Arabidopsis thaliana: one gene and its partners. The protein of the gene in region 3 interacts with the protein of the main gene of each other region in a pairwise test. Each region holds a gene or a part of one and is shown on either strand. Other genes may lie near its edges. The genes, in order: HSL1, FUS9 and COP8.

Region 1 (7,864 bases), on a different chromosome or scaffold from region 3:
GTTGCATCATCAGATAGTTATTTTTATATTGTCAACTACTATTTTATGCTTGTAAAAATACACAGAGATGGTTCTTGGTTACAACAAGGAATATTTCATATGTGAAATCTGAAAGGCAACAATATTAGACTAATATAGCAAATAACATGATATCAACGTATGGGAGTGTAAATGTCTGAATGTTCCATTTGAGAAATGTCCTCATCATGTGACACAAGTTTATTAGGCTACTCAAGTTAGCTTAGAATTAAGAAGCTAGAACATGTGAAAATAAATAGAAAACAAAAAAGAGGAAACAAAAACTAATAACAGAACGAGAAGTTGAAACCTTTTGGATCCAATTAAATGAATATCGATGTAATTCCAAAATGTTAGTTCATGTGTTAATGTTTGAAGATCTAGTACATATGAATAACATTTGAAATCATTTTTGTTTCATGCAATTACATAACTACAAGGGTTTTCATCACATATTGCTAATTAATTTTGAGTTTAGAATCCAAAACATTTAACCGAAAATCTAATAATTTTAAAAAGGGTGATTTACTCATCTATAAGACTAACTAAAAAAATACGTACTAAATTATTTACAAGAGACAATTGATAACTAGAGTATGAATTAGTTGTTTAGACTTACCCATGTGTCAAAGTCATATTGACAAATGGCTCGGTTATAACTGATTTATATACCAATAATTGCATACAAGTTTGTTTCTTAAATAAATCAAGCAATATTCATAAGATTGCATGTGTATTTTCTGCGAAACTATTAGTACGAATTCGTGGATATGCAAATTTAATGACTATGCAAAGTAGGTGAGAATGTAATAGCGATTAGAATAGCTAGGGTTTAGCCTACCAACCATGGTAATCCAGTTTCCTAATTATCGTTAGTTTTTGAATCCCATTCATGCTTTTATCTATTTTTCAACCAATCATGTCTTTTTACCAACAAAGCATTTCCAGTCTAAGCAATATGGTAGGTAACTCGGTACGATAAACAGAAAGATAATTTATTATTCATCTATAAACGAATAATTGGTTCTCACATTACTCATACAGAGGAAAAAAAGGGATATACAAACCCTCTCTAAATTATATAGTTTTGAATTCACTGTTGTTTATCAACAACATATATAACTCTCTTACCCAATTCTTATTATTGTTCATACTTCATAGACATTAACATGTACGTATAGTGATTGCTACAATGAATGGTATGTACAGATATTGAGACAGACAGTAGAAAGGGATGAATCGAGTATTTATTAAAGAGAAAGGAAAGGGCCAATCTATGCCTAGTTTCAATTATGAAACTCAACCCATGAACTGATTTAAATACTTTACCTATCGGATAAGACTTTTAAGGGTCTAAAATATTTTCCAACTATTTTTCATTTGCAACAAACCTTAAAGTAATATGCTAAAGAGATCTTTTCCAAAGGTGGAATGATTTTTTTGATCTAAAACGGCCCATCAACCAATCTTCGGTCCATTATCCTGACATGATTATTTGGGCTACATTTTTTTAAGTCTTTTGCAGTAAATTGTTGAACCAACAAAAATAAAGAGTTGGAGTTGGACCTAGTAGCTGATCTGCTGATGTGTTGGTGATGGTCGTCGTGGGTTCCTGTCTTATAACCCTAGAAACCAAGCCACTTCATCATTCTCAAATTCAATGCTTTACTAAATAATATTATTATCGAAATCAAAATACTAATTTAGACGTATATAAATCTAGAAGCAAACCTTAGGTGAGGTCGAAACAGAGATGACCTTTTGCGTGCACTTTAATTAATATCTTATTACATAAAATGTCACACTTTGAGTAAACTTTACATTATTCTCTCATCCATAATAAATAAATAAAGCATACTGGGTTTTAGGTCAGGCTGACGTCAGCAGTTTCTTTGTGTTTCATTTTTTTTTTTTTTGTAATCTAACGCTCCAGATTTGTTGTCTTCTCCACGAGCCCTTTGTTGTTGTTGGTAATGGAGATTTTCGCTCTAAGTCATTGTGGCTTCTTCTTCTTTATTTAGAAACCAATTCATCAACTCCTTCGTTATTTCTAAATCTCTTTGCCACTACCTCTTGTTGCTGCAATTGAATTGGCTCAAATCTTCTTCACTTGGTCGACGTAAAGACGACTTTGACTTGGTTTTTAACTTCACTTCTCCGTCGAAAACTATCCCTTCTCTTCCGATCGAATCAATCGGCTCTCTCTCCACACAAACCAAGGTAAGGGTTAACCCTCTCCGGTGATTATGCTCTGATAAATTTACTTGCTCGGCCATTAGTGTTCAGAAACTTGGTGATTTATGCATGTTTTTTTTTGTTCAAAGACCGTAGATTTCGGAATTAGGATTGTAAAAATTGAACCTTTACATCAGTGTTTTTACAAAGTTATAAGCTTTACTTGGAAATCAGTGGTTTTTTGGGTCAACCAAAGTTGAAAGATTTGAAGAAGAATGAAACTAGTTCGATTTATATATCATTTTATTGCTTCTTAAGAAAGTGTCGTCCTTGGTTCTTTATGAATTTCCAATTGCAGCCAAATATGTCATGTTATTCACCTAATTTTTGTATTTTCCAATTGCAGCCAAATATCTTCTCCTGTTACTGGAGACAAACCTGCATACATTTCTGTCATCTCTGTTAAGGTATTACATTTAGTTTACTTGTTTACTTAATGTAGCTGCTTATTACATTTTTTTCTTCAAGTCTATATTCTTCTTTCAATAGCATTAAAAGTTATGTGTATCCTCAGATTAGATCTTGCTGACTCGCAAGTTTTTGGATTATTTAGCGGTTTAATAAGAATTATATCTTCCTTGAAATTGTGCCTAGGTAGTGGAATCGTTGTTAGCCTACTGTAGCTCAGATAGGTGATGGATCATTTCCGTTCAATTGAATAATTTGACTATTTAAGGTTTGCACTTAGTTTTGTCTACAGAATCAATTCATCCTTTTTCACAGTCAAGATATTATTCTCATTATCACTATTGTAGACTTCTTGGACTTCCATACATTCATCAGTCAACTTTTCGATGGTGCGTTTTTATCACAGTGGCACAATTATTTAAGAGGCTCCATCTCCACTGCACCACTGAGAAGTTTCGTGTGGACATGTCTAAGCTTAGAATTGGTTTGGTTGAAAACTGAGGAGATGGAAGTGACTCGTGGTTTCTCTTTTTTGGACAAGTTTCTTCGAAAGGTCTGTTGATTTTCTTTGTCTCTTGTGAACTTTAATTTCGTTTTTTTTTCCTTAGGATGCAATGATATCTTATCTTTAGATGTCAATATCAAATGTCCTTAACTATTCATTCATTTACGGATTTTGATTACTTTATAACAGTTGGTATCTTCTTCTATATATCGTCATCTTATATGTTTTTATTTGTATATAGTCTTTCACAGAAGGAGCGTATTGAGTTTCTCGACAATATATTTGACATCTTCTTCTGCCTTTTCTGGTAAGTGTTTAACTTTTCTGATACCAATTAGTTTTCTTAATCATTGCATATTTTTAATGCTTGTGCCTTTATTAAAGAGGAAAGTTGCGGTGGATTAAAGCACCATCGTGCGGAGAATACGATAAGGCTCTTGCTTCATTTGAAGTTATTGACAGTTGAATCGAGCCGCTCAATTGGTCAATTATGGAGTCAATAAAGGTTTGCATGAACGCACTGTGCGGAGCGGCCTCTACGTCGGGCGAGTGGAAAAAAGGCTGGCCTATGCGATCCGGTGATTTAGCTTCTCTCTGCGATAAGTGTGGGTAAGGGCCTTCACTCTTGTGTCTAATTTGAATACTTTTGCGACCAGTTCGATATTCGCAACACTTCTGCGATAGATTAGTGCTGTGGGTTTGCTTACAATTAGAACAAGAGTGGGTACGTGAAGGGAATCTATATTTCATGATTACTTATTAGTAAACTCTGTGAATGTTGGTTTTTGATAGGTGTGCATACGAGCAATCCATATTCTGTGAAGTGTTCCATGCCAAGGAATCTGGTTGGAGAGAGTGTAATTCATGTGACAAGGTGACGAAAATCCATGGCTTACTACACATGTTTTTGCACTCAACGTATTTCAATTGTTTTCCTTAATACGTATTTACGTTTTTTTCAGCGTCTTCACTGTGGATGCATTGCTTCTAGATTTATGATGGAGCTTCTAGAGAATGGTGGTGTTACCTGTATAAGTTGCGCCAAGAAATCCGGACTAATTTCTGTAAGACAATTTCCTCTCCATGAGTTAACTTCTTGCAAGGGATGCTTCCTTGGTCTTGGTTTCTCTGTCACTATACTCATGTAATCTCTCTTACAGATGAATGTGAGCCATGAATCTAACGGTAAGGACTTCCCCTCATTTGCTTCAGCAGAGCATGTAGGCAGTGTTCTTGAGAGGACAAATCTCAAGCACTTGCTTCACTTTCAAAGAATCGACCCCACTCATTCTTCTCTTCAAATGAAACAAGAAGAATCGCTGCTTCCTTCCAGCCTAGATGCTCTTAGACACAAAACTGAAAGGAAAGAATTGTCTGCACAGCCAAACTTGAGCATTTCACTTGGACCTACGCTTATGACAAGCCCATTTCATGATGCTGCTGTTGATGACAGAAGTAAGACTAATTCGATTTTCCAACTGGCCCCTCGGTCCAGGCAGCTGCTTCCAAAACCTGCAAATTCAGCTCCCATTGCTGCTGGCATGGAGCCTAGTGGGAGCCTGGTGTCACAGATTCATGTCGCTCGGCCTCCTCCAGAAGGTCGCGGGAAGACCCAATTGCTTCCCCGTTACTGGCCTAGGATTACTGACCAAGAGCTGCTGCAATTATCTGGACAGTATCCTCATCTGTATGTTATAATATCGTGTTTCTGCTTTTATTCTACCATTATGCACTATTTTTCTGTGCTAAGGAGTCCTTGACTGTTTATTTTCCTAGCTCAAATTCCAAAATTATACCACTCTTTGAAAAAGTTCTGAGTGCGAGCGATGCGGGTCGTATTGGTCGACTGGTTCTTCCGAAAGCATGTGCAGAGGTAACTTGTTTCTCTGTACGCTTATTTGATATTCCCAAACTATTGCTATCTAAATGCCAGGTATCAGCTATAACCGTCTATGCTTCTATGTAGGCATATTTCCCCCCTATATCTCTACCCGAGGGTCTCCCGTTAAAGATACAAGACATAAAAGGGAAAGAATGGGTGTTCCAGTTCAGGTTTTGGCCTAATAATAACAGCAGGATGTACGTTTTGGAGGGTGTGACTCCTTGCATACAGTCCATGCAGTTGCAAGCTGGTGACACTGGTACTTTTCAAATCCTTTTGTTTCGTTAACTACATTCATAACATATTGATAAACCCACCCTGGTATGGATAAATGAAACATTGGCACTAAAGCGTTCCAATCATGAGGACAGTGAAATACATTCCACGAAGAGATGACCGTACTTTTCTATTAGGTCTGATGTCTTGGATTTTCCATGTTCTCTGCAGTAACATTCAGCCGTACAGAACCTGAAGGAAAACTCGTAATGGGATACCGTAAAGCGACGAACTCTACAGCGACACAGGTAAATGCATAATAAGCTGAGAGTTGCCCCCTTAGGCATAAGTAACTGCCACTGTGAAGTGTATTGAATTAAAGAATCCTTTTCTGGTGCTCTCGTACTGATTCTTTCAGTGAAATATTTTTCCGTGTTTCTTCAGATGTTCAAGGGAAGCAGTGAACCCAATCTGAACATGTTTTCCAACAGCTTGAATCCGGGATGTGGTGACATCAATTGGTCTAAACTAGAGAAGTCTGAGGACATGGCAAAGGATAACTTATTTCTTCAGTCGTCCTTAACTTCTGCTAGGAAACGGGTTCGGAACATTGGGACTAAGAGCAAGCGTCTGCTCATTGATAGCGTAGATGTTCTGGAACTGAAAATAACTTGGGAGGAGGCACAGGAGCTGTTGCGGCCTCCCCAATCCACCAAACCCAGCATCTTTACGCTGGAAAATCAAGATTTTGAAGAATATGACGTGAGTTACTGTTAACTGTTTAGTTATCAAAAACAGCTGGGAACTTTTCACTGTATTTTCTGAAATCATGTATTTGCTGCTACCCAGGAACCACCAGTTTTCGGGAAGAGGACCCTTTTTGTCTCACGTCAAACAGGGTGAGGCCTCATGTACTATGTAATGATAGGATCAGAAGAATTAAGCACCCTTGGAATGATCGAAAGATTTGAAGTAATGAACATCTGATTATTTGGTTCTGATATGTGATCCATGAATTCTCAGGGAACAAGAGCAATGGGTGCAGTGTGATGCTTGTGGGAAATGGCGACAGCTGCCGGTGGATATTCTTCTTCCACCAAAGTGGTCGTGCTCTGATAATCTCTTGGATCCTGGCAGGTAAACGAGGTTGCATGTTCATGTGTTTAACCTAGGCTAGTTACCACAGAACATTGCGCATTTTTTTCCGAAATAACTTAGACTACACATATGGGATAATTATAGATTTTTGACTCACTGAGACTGGCCATCTGAATAATTTGAGTTGCTGTTTATATCGTCAGGTCTTCATGTTCCGCACCTGATGAACTCTCTCCAAGAGAACAGGATACACTTGTCCGGCAGAGCAAAGGTAAAATCCGCAGCTATTATTGGTCTGTATAATTAGAAACTTCCTTCTTTACATAACGAAACTTTCGTCTCAACAGAGTTCAAAAGGAGGAGACTGGCATCATCAAACGAAAAGCTAAACCAGTCGCAGGATGCATCTGCTCTGAATAGTTTAGGAAATGCAGGCATCACCACAACCGGTGAACAGGGGGAAATCACGGTTGCAGCCACGACCAAGCATCCAAGACACCGGGCAGGGTGTTCGTGCATCGTCTGCAGCCAACCACCGAGCGGAAAAGGCAAACACAAGCCGTCATGCACTTGCACTGTGTGCGAGGCAGTGAAGAGACGATTCAGGACGCTCATGCTGCGGAAGCGGAACAAAGGAGAGGCAGGACAGGCAAGCCAGCAGGCGCAGTCACAGTCAGAGTGCAGGGACGAGACAGAAGTGGAGAGCATTCCAGCGGTTGAACTAGCCGCAGGGGAAAACATCGACTTGAACTCAGACCCGGGGGCTTCCCGAGTAAGCATGATGAGGCTTCTCCAAGCTGCAGCGTTTCCTCTGGAAGCATATCTGAAACAAAAGGCTATTTCCAATACAGCAGGAGAACAGCAAAGCAGTGATATGGTCAGCACAGAACACGGTTCGTCCTCAGCCGCACAAGAAACTGAGAAAGACACAACAAATGGAGCTCATGATCCTGTGAACTAAACAGCTTTGGAATTCTCCATGAGTATTTATTCTTCAGTGGTATGTGTTTCTTATTTACACAAAAAATGTCTTCGGTTTCGTCTCAAATTGGTTGAGTGGTTACGACCATTCTACCAATTGTCGATCGAAGAAATGAGGAATTTGTAGTTTGCTTTTCTTTTTGTTTCTGGTGTTTTGGTTTGGTGTGTGGTGAGTTGAGGCTTGAGAGAGAGAGACAAATAGATTTGATGAGGTTTTTGAAAATACATAGGACACTAACTTAATAGTTATATCTAATATGGAAATGGATGAAGCTTCTAAGAAGAGAATCGGTTCTGGAGGTGGAGCTTCAAATTTGTACGCCTATCTATCGCAATCTTAAGTTTCAAAATTCGAACCTGTACATAATTTTTATTATTTTCAAGTTTGTTTATGAAATTTATGATTTACTTAAATTAGAGAAATTGGTTACGCGAGATCCTATTATTTTGATTTGGTGATAAACTTATGGTATGAAGACACACAATCAGTTACATGGAAGCAAATAAATCGGCTATAGCTC
Region 2 (3,799 bases), on a different chromosome or scaffold from region 3:
CCGGTGAAGCAGATTGTTGATCCCAACACGCTTTTACATTACAACAGCATGTTTGATGCTATGGTTGATGCTGCTTACTACTCCATGGAAGCTTTGAATTTCTCCAAGATTCCTGTTGTAGTCACGGAAACAGGCTGGCCTTCGTCTGGTGGAAGCGATGAAGCGGCTGCAACAGTCGCTAATGCGGAGACATTCAACACTAACTTGATCAAGAGAGTGCTGAACAACTCAGGTCCTCCTAGTCAACCAGACATACCGATAAACACTTACATCTACGAGCTGTACAATGAAGACAAGCGGTCAGGACCAGTCTCTGAAAGAAACTGGGGGATTTTGTTTCCAAATGGGACCTCGGTTTACCCTCTGAGTTTGAGTGGTGGCTCTAGCTCCGCAGCTCTAAACGGTTCATCGATGTTCTGCGTGGCTAAAGCAGATGCTGATGATGATAAGTTGGTTGACGGTTTGAATTGGGCGTGTGGTCAAGGCCGAGCTAACTGCGCTGCCATTCAACCGGGCCAACCTTGCTACCTCCCTAACGATGTTAAGAGCCATGCTTCTTTTGCTTTCAATGACTATTACCAGAAGATGAAAAGTGCAGGTGGAACTTGTGACTTTGATGGTACGGCTATCACTACGACTAGAGATCCTAGTAAGTTTTTCTCATTTCCTCTGATCTATGTGTTGCAATAATTCTATGTTTTCAAGTTGTTTCCTCAGAGTAAATCTCAAATTCGATGGCTTGTGTGTTTGCAGGCTATAGAACATGTGCATATACGGGAAGGTAACGATACTAAATTTATGTCTTGTTAAGTTTTGAAAATGAAATCTGCTCCTAACTCTTTGAAATCATTTTCCATTTATCTCAGCTTAAACGCAAACGCTACTAATGGAAACTTTCCTCCGGATGCGTTAGGACCCGCAAGTCCATTGGGAGGAAACGCAAACGCACGTATCATCTTTAGCTACCATCTTCCCATATTGGCACCGTTAGCTCTCACTCTACTACAACTGTTGCTTCAGCATGACCGCCTTTTGTAGAACGTTTGCCAAAAAGCGGTTTTGTAGTAACCGGGGAAGTCTACCTGTGGCTTGGATTGGATTTCTTACGGTTACCGGTAGTTACTGTGTACTTTGTTTTTAGTGTAAGTGTAACTAGAGACTAAAGAGGGCTCACAAGTTCCCATTCTTTTTTTTGTCTTCATCTTTGAACTAAAATATTCGAATTAGAGTGATTTAAATTTCATATTCAAATGAATCAGTGCATTGTAGGAGAGTTTACGTAAATCATGTTATTCATAAAAATTGACAGAGTAAATTTGATTATGTTTAAACAAAAATTAAATTGATTTTGGATAATTTCAATTTTCTTTCCAAAATGTGTGCCTTTTTCAAGAACTTTGAATAATCATTTATCAAATTATTAAGGATTCACGTGGTTATAACATGATCACATTACACAAAAGGACAAGAATATTCGATAATTCAACTTAAATAAATTTGGTTGTCAAAATGATTACAAATTTATTGATAGTGATTAGTGAGAGAAAATAAAAATAAAAAATACATGTTACAAAATTAATCTCCACGTCAGCGATTACTTTATTTGTTTAATTGATCGGACAAAAACGCGGCGTTTCGAAATCTTTTCCCGATGGAGTGCGAGCGAAACGATCAAGTGGTGGATTGGATAAGCAGAGAGTATCGGAAGACGACGACGACGGGAGATGATGACACCTGGCGGAAGCGGGAGGTTGAGACCGTTACCGACGGCGATGTACGCCGGATATTCAGGAACGGCGTCGTCTTGGGTAGCGAAGACTTCAGTTTCTGCGTCAGGGAAGAGGATACAGAGGGAGATGGCTGAGCTTAACATTGATCCACCTCCTGATTGCTCAGCTGGTCCAAAAGGAGATAATCTCTACCATTGGATCGCCACCATCATTGGTCCTTCGGGTTTAATTCTGATACTCTCTTTGAATATTTGTAGATAATCCGATTGAAAATTTGTTAGGTTTTCAAGTCTTTGAATTTGGTGTTTATGGAACTTTTGCAGGAACTCCCTATGAAGGAGGGATCTTTTTCCTGGATATAATTTTCCCATCTGATTATCCATTCAAGCCACCTAAGGTATGATCATGGATTCTTTGGTTAACACATTTTGGGAGCTTTACTGATTTAGCTGGTAATGATTTAAGGTTTAGAAGTTTTGATTTCTAATGATGATCTCTTTAGGAAGAACTATTTAGTGAATATCAATGAGTCTTCAACTGCATCACATTGAAACAGAGATCATCTAGTGTCTCAGACTCTCAGTGTCTAGCATATTATGTAGTTTTATTGCTTTCAACATAGTCTTAGGATACATTTTGTAGCAAATTTCTTGAAGTTTTGGGTCTAGTGATAGTCAAGCTATAGGTACTAATCTAGAGCTTGCACTTTTATTACATCTGTCTTTTTGGTTAAGTTGGTGAGGTTGATTTGCAGTTGGTGTTCAAGACTCGGATTTACCATTGCAATGTTGATACTGCGGGAGATTTAAGTGTGAACATTCTAAGAGATAGTTGGAGTCCAGCCCTTACAATCACTAAAGTCTTACAAGCCATCAGATCTATCTTCTTAAAACCTGAACCCTGTAAGTTTCTATTCTACTCTCAGGCTTCAGATCAGACCATTTCAAGTCCTCTGATGAAATGACCAGCTCATGTCAGATCTACCTAAGAGAACGTTTTTAAAAAAAAGTTTGTGATGAGTTTTGGCCAACAAACATAATAGATGTCCGCATCTAACTACTGTATTTAACTTCCATAGTAAATCTCTATTGTTCTTATTCTTTTTGCTTCTTCTTCATCGACCAGATAGTCCAGCTTTACCGGTGATTGCACGGCTCTACTTGACAGATAGAGAAAAGCATGACGAGGTAGCCAAAGAATGGACATTGCGATTTGCCAAGTGAGATCTTCAATACGAGGAAAAGACAACTGATGTATTATAAATACACCTAGTTCTTTGGTTAGTTAATGGTCATCAATGTACATTCATAAAAGTGGAACCACAATGTTAGATGGCCAAGAAAATTGTTTGCTCAGATAATAGGCAACAATGTGAGGTAGGACCAATCCTCAACAACTCCAATTTATTGAAGGTTATACAATTTAGTGTCAAATCTTTTCGTCAAGGACTCGAAAACCAAAGATCATATATGGTCTGAATATAACTGAGGAATTGTTTCTTTTATAAGAAAACAAGAGCATTTTGTTTTGAAACAAGAATAGTAGGCCATAACTTCTAGAGAAAAGCGATTACAGATGAGATAATTAAACTGAAGAGTATTAGTTGGTACCTAACATGTTCCATAATCTTTATTGATTGATTATCTCCAAAAAGAAAGATCAAACTTTCTATTGAAGACACAAGTGAGACTTGAGAGACCAAATCTACCGGTCAATTCTTTTCGTTCTTTTAACCTAACTCTGTTTAACATAATTATCACAAATGGTCAGTACATATCTATCTACGCATGGTATATATAGAGAATATGTAGAACAGCAGTGTTAAAAAAGAGTAACATATTTTGAGTCTCTGCGACTAATATCTTCATATCGGTACGTTGTAATATTTATCCGTTAATTATACGTGTGTTAGATGTGTTAGTGTATATGCAGATGAATATGTCATTTTATGCATCACATGTATATACTCAATTTGTTTATCTTATTTTTTTATTTAATGTTCCCCTTCGTTGGCATCATATATATTTCTCTTGAAGTTTTGAGTAAAACCTCTAGAGATGTTGGAAGAT
Region 3 (6,004 bases):
GAGGAATTCGATGCCGGATTTGTTGATCTAACGGTTGAGATTGAAGAATTGCAAATCGGATTCAGCTTCTGAGGACGCGTGTAATTTATGCTCATTGAAAATAGAAGAAATTGATATATTTAGTCAAAAAGGTTATGAGATTTGAGTATTTCTTTTTATTTTTTATTTTTTTTTTGTTGGTCACATTGAATATTATTGCCTTTGGTAGTTCAGTCCTATATTTTATTTGAGAAACAAAATCAGAAAAGAATCTATAATTTGAAGCAACTTTCATATTGTAATTTGGTATTCCTATATTTTATTTGAGAAACAATATCAGAAAAGATCAAAAGAATCTATAATTTGTAGCAACTTTAAATATTGTAATAGGAAATCTTTTAAAATTTATCAATATGAAATTTGTTAATTTATAATAGGTCTTGAGATTTGATCATGTGACTTCTAAACACAAGTTATTGGGCTTTTGTTTAAGTAAAGCCCATGTGTCAAAGAAATGGATTGTTTTCCTAGTTAGTGAAATAATCTTATACACACAATTTAAAAACAATAGAGAAAATTAATGTTGAAATGAGCAGATTAATGTGGGGTTGTACATATCAAGGTGGAACTATCACAAGGAAGAACAAAGAGATATCTTGAGGTAACTACCCAAAGAAAGAGCAATGAAACCCTACCATGACAATTTGTCCAGACTATAACGAGTTAAATCATTATCATGAATTCCATACCATGGCAATTTGTTTTCTTTCAATGGGATGTCTACCATTCCAAAAAAGTTTTGCCATCAACAACCGCATCTGTTCTTTTGAGTAAATGTAATTTTGGTAAACTATGTAGTCTATAATCATTAGTTACAATATGGATCTGTAAAGTTGATTCAAAAACAATTGTGATGTTCTCGAACGGGATCACCATAAACTTCATCAAAAAAAATCCTTTAAGCGAGAGAAACTCGTGATTTTTCGAGACAACGATTGTGTCTATGAGTCTATCGTCCAACCTCATCCAATACCAATATGTTCAGTTATATCTAAGTTGTAAAGCACATAAAATCGATTTGTCAGTCAGCTCACATGTTTAAACCAAAGTCGTATTCCAATGCGAGACTTGGTTTCCTAGTCTGAGATAGGTAAATTTCTTTATATACTACCCTCTATGTAACGAGAGAGTGGTTCTTTTTTCACTTTTAATTCATGAGAGCACTTTCAAAACATTTTGCATGTCATTGCTCTCAAGATTTGGGCTCACAACTTTTCCGATGACTTCTCGGTCATATCTTGACCATTCGATCAATTTTTCGATTGCTTCTAGTCGATTCTTTCTCAACAAATAATTATTTACGTTTCCATCTTAAATTGCTCCCTAAGCTCTAAAACACATAACATATCATCTTTTTCCGATCTGGTATCATAATATTAAACGTGGTATTGTCATCATAAAATACCTCATCATCGTGTTTTCCAAATCACGACGTGTTTTTTTATTTGTGTAAAAGATTTACTGTAGTAATTTAGGCTCACATATAAAAATATTTCTAAACAATATATTATTTGTTGATTTTTTTTTTTAATCTACAATCAATTTGGTAAACTTACCATCACAAATTAATTATAAAATTTATGAACTAACAAAAAAAAATATAGTATTTATGCTTAATATATATATATATATATTTTAATTTATTTTGGGTACTAATCTCATATGAGTTGTGACCATATTAAGTAAATTTTGTAAAGCGCCTCTCCGATCACCGGCACAGAATCTAGTCCCCGTTTATTTTTTTAATATAAAAAGAGAGCAAACTCCAAAAAAAAAAAAAAAAAAAGCGAGAGAGAAATCAAAACCTTGTAAGGTTTCTTAGGGTTTCAATCGAAGCGGGAGAGAAAATCTCAGAAGAGAAGCCATGGATGAAGCTTTGACGAACGCTTCTGCAATCGGTGACCAACGCCAGAAAATCGAACAGTACAAACTCATCCTCTCCTCTGTTCTCTCTTCCAACGATCTTCTCCAAGCTCAGAGATTCATCGATCACAGTAATTTCGCATCTCCCTTCTTTCTCATGGTTTCAACTTCATAAGAGATTCGACAACTGCTTTTTGTTCTTATGGAATTCGGTTTATATCAGAATTTCTGGTTTGATTTTGATTTTTGCTTCCTCACAATTTTTCCAGTTCTTTCCGATGATGTCCCGTTGGTGGTTTCGAGGCAGCTTTTGCAGTCTTTCGCACAAGAGCTTGGGAGATTAGAACCGGAGACGCAGAAGGAGATTGCTCAATTTACTCTTACCCAGATTCAGCCTAGAGTTGTTTCCTTTGAGGAACAGGTTTGTTTTCTCTTCGTGATACCTTACTGTTTAGCAGCAATCGTGTACTTTTTAAACCCTAATTAGTTTACCTACTTAACATAAGTTGAGAGGTATGTAGAGTCGCTTTGCTATTGTACCGCTTTGGTATGTGAAATCTACACTGAAAGCTAATTTGAGATATTTGTTTACTAAGGATGCTGTATTTTGGGATAACTGAGACAATGTACGTTGTGTTGTTTTTCAATCTCTTTATTCTAAGAGATGAAACTGTTTGTGGTGTATTTGCAGGCACTTGTTATCAGAGAAAAACTTGCGGGTTTGTATGAATCAGAGCAGGAATGGTCAAAAGCAGCACAGATGTTGAGTGGAATTGATCTGGATTCTGGAATGAGGTGTGTGGCATTGAGCAGAATTTTGTTTTAGTTTCCTCTCTATGTTCTTTTGTGTTGCTTATTTTGGATTTGCGGAATTCTTTATTAGGGCCGTTGACGACAACTTCAAGCTTTCAAAGTGTATCCAAATTGCTCGTTTGTATCTCGAGGTTTGTCTTTCCCTTTCATGTACATATGCACAATAGATTCTGTGTCCTTTTCATTAATTTTTAAGCATGTAAATCGGTTATCTCTGTTTATGAGATGAATTTACGCATCGCAGTAATGATTTATAGCTAGTTTGTCTTGTTTCCTTCTGTGGGTGCGTGTCAATCAGTTACAGAAGTTAGATCTTAAAAGCACAAAAGAAACCCGTTGTTGAATGTTGATTCAATCTTCAAATATTTGGACATTTTTCTAGAGAGATTTTATTTAAAGTTAAGTCTCTTGACCAAATCTAAGTGTCATGAAATTAGGAATATCGACTGTTAAGAGCATTATTCTGCTTCACTACATCACTTTTTTATTTATTGCTTGTGAGAGTAAATTGAGGCTAGCAGAGTTGTATAAATACATTTAGTTAAATTTTTATTGTTCTCTAATACTTTTGTGTTTTGAAATTTTCAGGATGATGATGCTGTAAATGCAGAGGCTTTTATAAATAAAGCTTCTTTCTTAGTGAGCAATAGTCAGAATGAAGTTTTGAATTTGCAGTACAAGGTTGGACCACCTTAAAGTAAACTAAGAATTTATGTGCTGGGTGATTAAGGAGCATTCGTTTTCAAGTTTTAATATATTTCTGTTTCAGGTCTGCTATGCTAGAATTTTGGACATGAAAAGAAAGTTTTTAGAGGCTGCACTTCGGTATTACGGCATATCTCAGATTGAGCAACGCCAAATAGGGGATGAGTAAGTGAACTGACTTATCTTTCTGCTACATCTTTTCTTCAAATTCTCCTCTGTTGGTTTCTTGTTCGGATGGAATAATGATTAATTAATCTTCTATCCATCTTTGGAGACTCTGTATTTAAAGCTAGTTTCCTACTTTTCCCCTCTCTGTGATTGAATAGTGTTCCTCTTTTCTCTCTCCAATACCTTTGTGATATCTCATATTCTGAAACGGTTATAATGTGTTTTCTAATCTTTTCAGAGAGATTGATGAGAATGCTTTAGAGCAGGCCCTATCAGCTGCTGTCACATGTACCATATTAGCTGGAGCTGGTCCTCAGCGTTCTCGTGTTCTTGCAACTTTATACAAAGTAATTCCCTTTTGGATTACAAATAGAATACTTTCCTGCTTGCTTATTTATTGTTTTTTATTTCTCAATATCTTTCTATTAACAGGATGAGCGTTGCTCCAAGCTGAAGATTTATCCTATCCTGCAGAAGGTTCTATCTCTTATTACCTACAACTGTTTCCTCTAGTAGACAAACATACATTTTCATGCTATTGGACATATAGTATTGTTTGAACTCACATATTACTCTTGTTTAAGCCGGCATGATGTTTATTAGATTTGATTCATTATCAAATCAAACAAGTTCACCATAGCTTATAGAGGCTTGGTTAGAAATGCATGGTAACTTTTTGTTTTTTAATGCAACTTTATAGGTGTATCTGGAAAGGATTTTAAGGAGACCAGAGATTGATGCCTTTTCAGAAGAACTAAGGCCACATCAGGTATGGACTGTGAATTAAGATTTAGATGTAGTTTTTGGATAACATCTGAGTTGGTAAGTAGGTTCATAACAAGTTATTACACTGTTGATTTCAACAGAAAGCATCTTTGCCTGACAAATCCACTGTTCTTGACCGTGCTATGATTGAGCATAACCTTCTTAGTGCAAGCAAACTCTACACAAACATAAGGTATGAGATGTCGAATTAGTATCTTCTTTGTGTGTCTAGACTTGTTTGATTTTCTCAACTATTTTATATCCTAGGTTTGATGAATTGGGAACTCTGTTGGCGATTGATCCAAGAAAAGCGGAGAAGATAGCAGCTAATATGATTGGGCAAGACCGAATGAGGGGTTCCATAGATCAGGTAAGCAATAAAAAATACTTTGTTGGTTGAGCTATGTAAGAGCCCTGAAGAGAATTCTCGTTAGTGTTGATTTTCTAGAAGGAGGTTCCTAGACGTGTTTTAATATTTTATGTTACTGTTCAGGAGGAGGCTGTGATTCATTTTGAGGATGACGTGGAGGAACTACAACAATGGGATCAACAGGTTTTCTATCTCTCCCTCCCACTCTTTGTCTCTTTAGAGCAACTATATATGATTGTTTGTTTTATTGGCGTGGAATATGACTGAAAAGTGGAATCTGTGCAGATATCGGGATTATGCCAAGCTCTCAATGACATTCTGGATGGGATGGCCAAGAAAGGCATGTCTGTTCCTGTCTGATTGACTCCCAAGCCGTGAGATCGCCTCATGATGATTAATTTGTATTAGCCGAGCAACGGATCGAGTCTCATGCCAAAGTTTTTGCCAAATTGCTGTGTTTTGGGGACAGTCATTTTCACCTTATTTACTTTCTTGCAAATTCATGTCTATGTCTTTAGGTTAATTGATTCAGAGAGGAAAAGATTAGGCATTGAATGAGGATTTTTAAGAAAGTTGAAAAGAGGTTCAGGGTACATTTTTACCTCAGAACAAATTATTTTATGCATAGATGAACCTTTCTTGTGCAAGAGAATGATGAAACTAGTAGTTTTTTTTTTTTTTTTGGCTCAACAACAACTTCTCATTTACCAAACGGTGATTACACAGAGTCTGAATACACACAATCTTTTATCCAAGCCGGCACCTTTAGAATACATTTTAGGATCATAATTCAATAAAGAAAGAGATTCCCTAGCAATTCTATCTGCCACACTGTTTCCTTCACGCTTTATATGCATCACCTTCACCTCCTCAAATTGTTGGAATATATGTCTAATGTCCTGAATTCTTGGGGCCAAATTTGGATAATCAGTATCATCCCCTAACAGAGACACTAGATGTTGGGAATCTGATTCAAAGATGACTTTCTTATAGTTAAATCTTGACATTGAAAGAGCTGCCCATCTCATAGCTTCAAGTTCCACTTCCAACACTGTCTGAACTCTCGGGATTGCACGAAGTCCCAGCCACAACATTTTCCCCTCATGATTTCTCAGATGAAACTAGTAGTTACATATAACATTTTCCCATTCGTTGTTTAATTTTTATTCTTGAACGATCAAAACTTATGCGAATTTAAGAAATGATCAATGATAACAGACGAAACTGCTAGTAATAATAATGAGAAACTGTTGCAACAAAATTTCGGAAGATTCGCAAGAA

What was found.
Region 1: the proteins of COP8 (region 3) and HSL1 interact in binary tests that used the Arabidopsis thaliana proteins (3 or more experiments, as listed by UniProt).
Region 2: the proteins of COP8 (region 3) and FUS9 interact in a two-hybrid assay, tested with the Arabidopsis thaliana proteins (one study listed by BioGRID).

What each region holds. Positions count from the first base shown.
Region 1 is NC_003075.7:15,477,575-15,485,438, forward strand, and holds HSL1 (HSI2-like 1), read left to right. Parts: upstream 1-1,804; 5' UTR 1,805-2,238; intron 2,239-2,599; 5' UTR 2,600-2,660; intron 2,661-2,920; exon of another isoform or gene 2,921-3,067; 5' UTR 3,068-3,214; intron 3,215-3,407; 5' UTR 3,408-3,473; intron 3,474-3,550; 5' UTR 3,551-3,656; coding exon 3,657-3,775; intron 3,776-3,958; coding exon 3,959-4,040; intron 4,041-4,128; coding exon 4,129-4,230; intron 4,231-4,326; coding exon 4,327-4,853; intron 4,854-4,942; coding exon 4,943-5,039; intron 5,040-5,132; coding exon 5,133-5,307; intron 5,308-5,495; coding exon 5,496-5,572; intron 5,573-5,708; coding exon 5,709-6,026; intron 6,027-6,113; coding exon 6,114-6,163; intron 6,164-6,287; coding exon 6,288-6,401; intron 6,402-6,565; coding exon 6,566-6,633; intron 6,634-6,709; coding exon 6,710-7,323; 3' UTR 7,324-7,780; downstream 7,781-7,864. UniProt on the Arabidopsis thaliana protein: Transcriptional repressor of gene expression involved in embryonic pathways, such as LEC1, ABI3, and FUS3. Repressor of the sugar-inducible genes involved in the seed maturation program in seedlings.
Region 2 is NC_003074.8:4,422,723-4,426,521, reverse strand, and holds FUS9 (Ubiquitin-conjugating enzyme family protein), read left to right. Parts: upstream 1-1,627; 5' UTR 1,628-1,724; coding exon 1,725-1,953; intron 1,954-2,053; coding exon 2,054-2,127; intron 2,128-2,484; coding exon 2,485-2,632; coding exon of another isoform or gene 2,633-2,694; exon of another isoform or gene 2,695-2,855; coding exon 2,856-2,953; 3' UTR 2,954-3,285; downstream 3,286-3,799. Other genes in the region: AT3G13560 (O-Glycosyl hydrolases family 17 protein), read left to right, coding at 1-649, 754-781, 867-1,038. UniProt on the Arabidopsis thaliana protein: Component of light signal transduction machinery. Involved in repression of photomorphogenesis in darkness by participating in the CDD complex, a complex probably required to regulate the activity of ubiquitin conjugating enzymes (E2s).
Region 3 is NC_003076.8:17,236,549-17,242,552, reverse strand, and holds COP8 (Proteasome component (PCI) domain protein), read left to right. Parts: upstream 1-1,736; 5' UTR 1,737-1,903; coding exon 1,904-2,033; intron 2,034-2,171; coding exon 2,172-2,323; intron 2,324-2,593; coding exon 2,594-2,697; intron 2,698-2,785; coding exon 2,786-2,846; intron 2,847-3,303; coding exon 3,304-3,396; intron 3,397-3,484; coding exon 3,485-3,585; intron 3,586-3,826; coding exon 3,827-3,935; intron 3,936-4,020; coding exon 4,021-4,065; intron 4,066-4,288; coding exon 4,289-4,357; intron 4,358-4,454; coding exon 4,455-4,546; intron 4,547-4,620; coding exon 4,621-4,723; intron 4,724-4,846; coding exon 4,847-4,906; intron 4,907-5,008; coding exon 5,009-5,083; 3' UTR 5,084-5,400; downstream 5,401-6,004. Other genes in the region: AT5G42965 (Polynucleotidyl transferase, ribonuclease H-like superfamily protein), read right to left, coding at 5,428-5,817. UniProt on the Arabidopsis thaliana protein: Component of the COP9 signalosome complex (CSN), a complex involved in various cellular and developmental processes such as photomorphogenesis and auxin and jasmonate responses.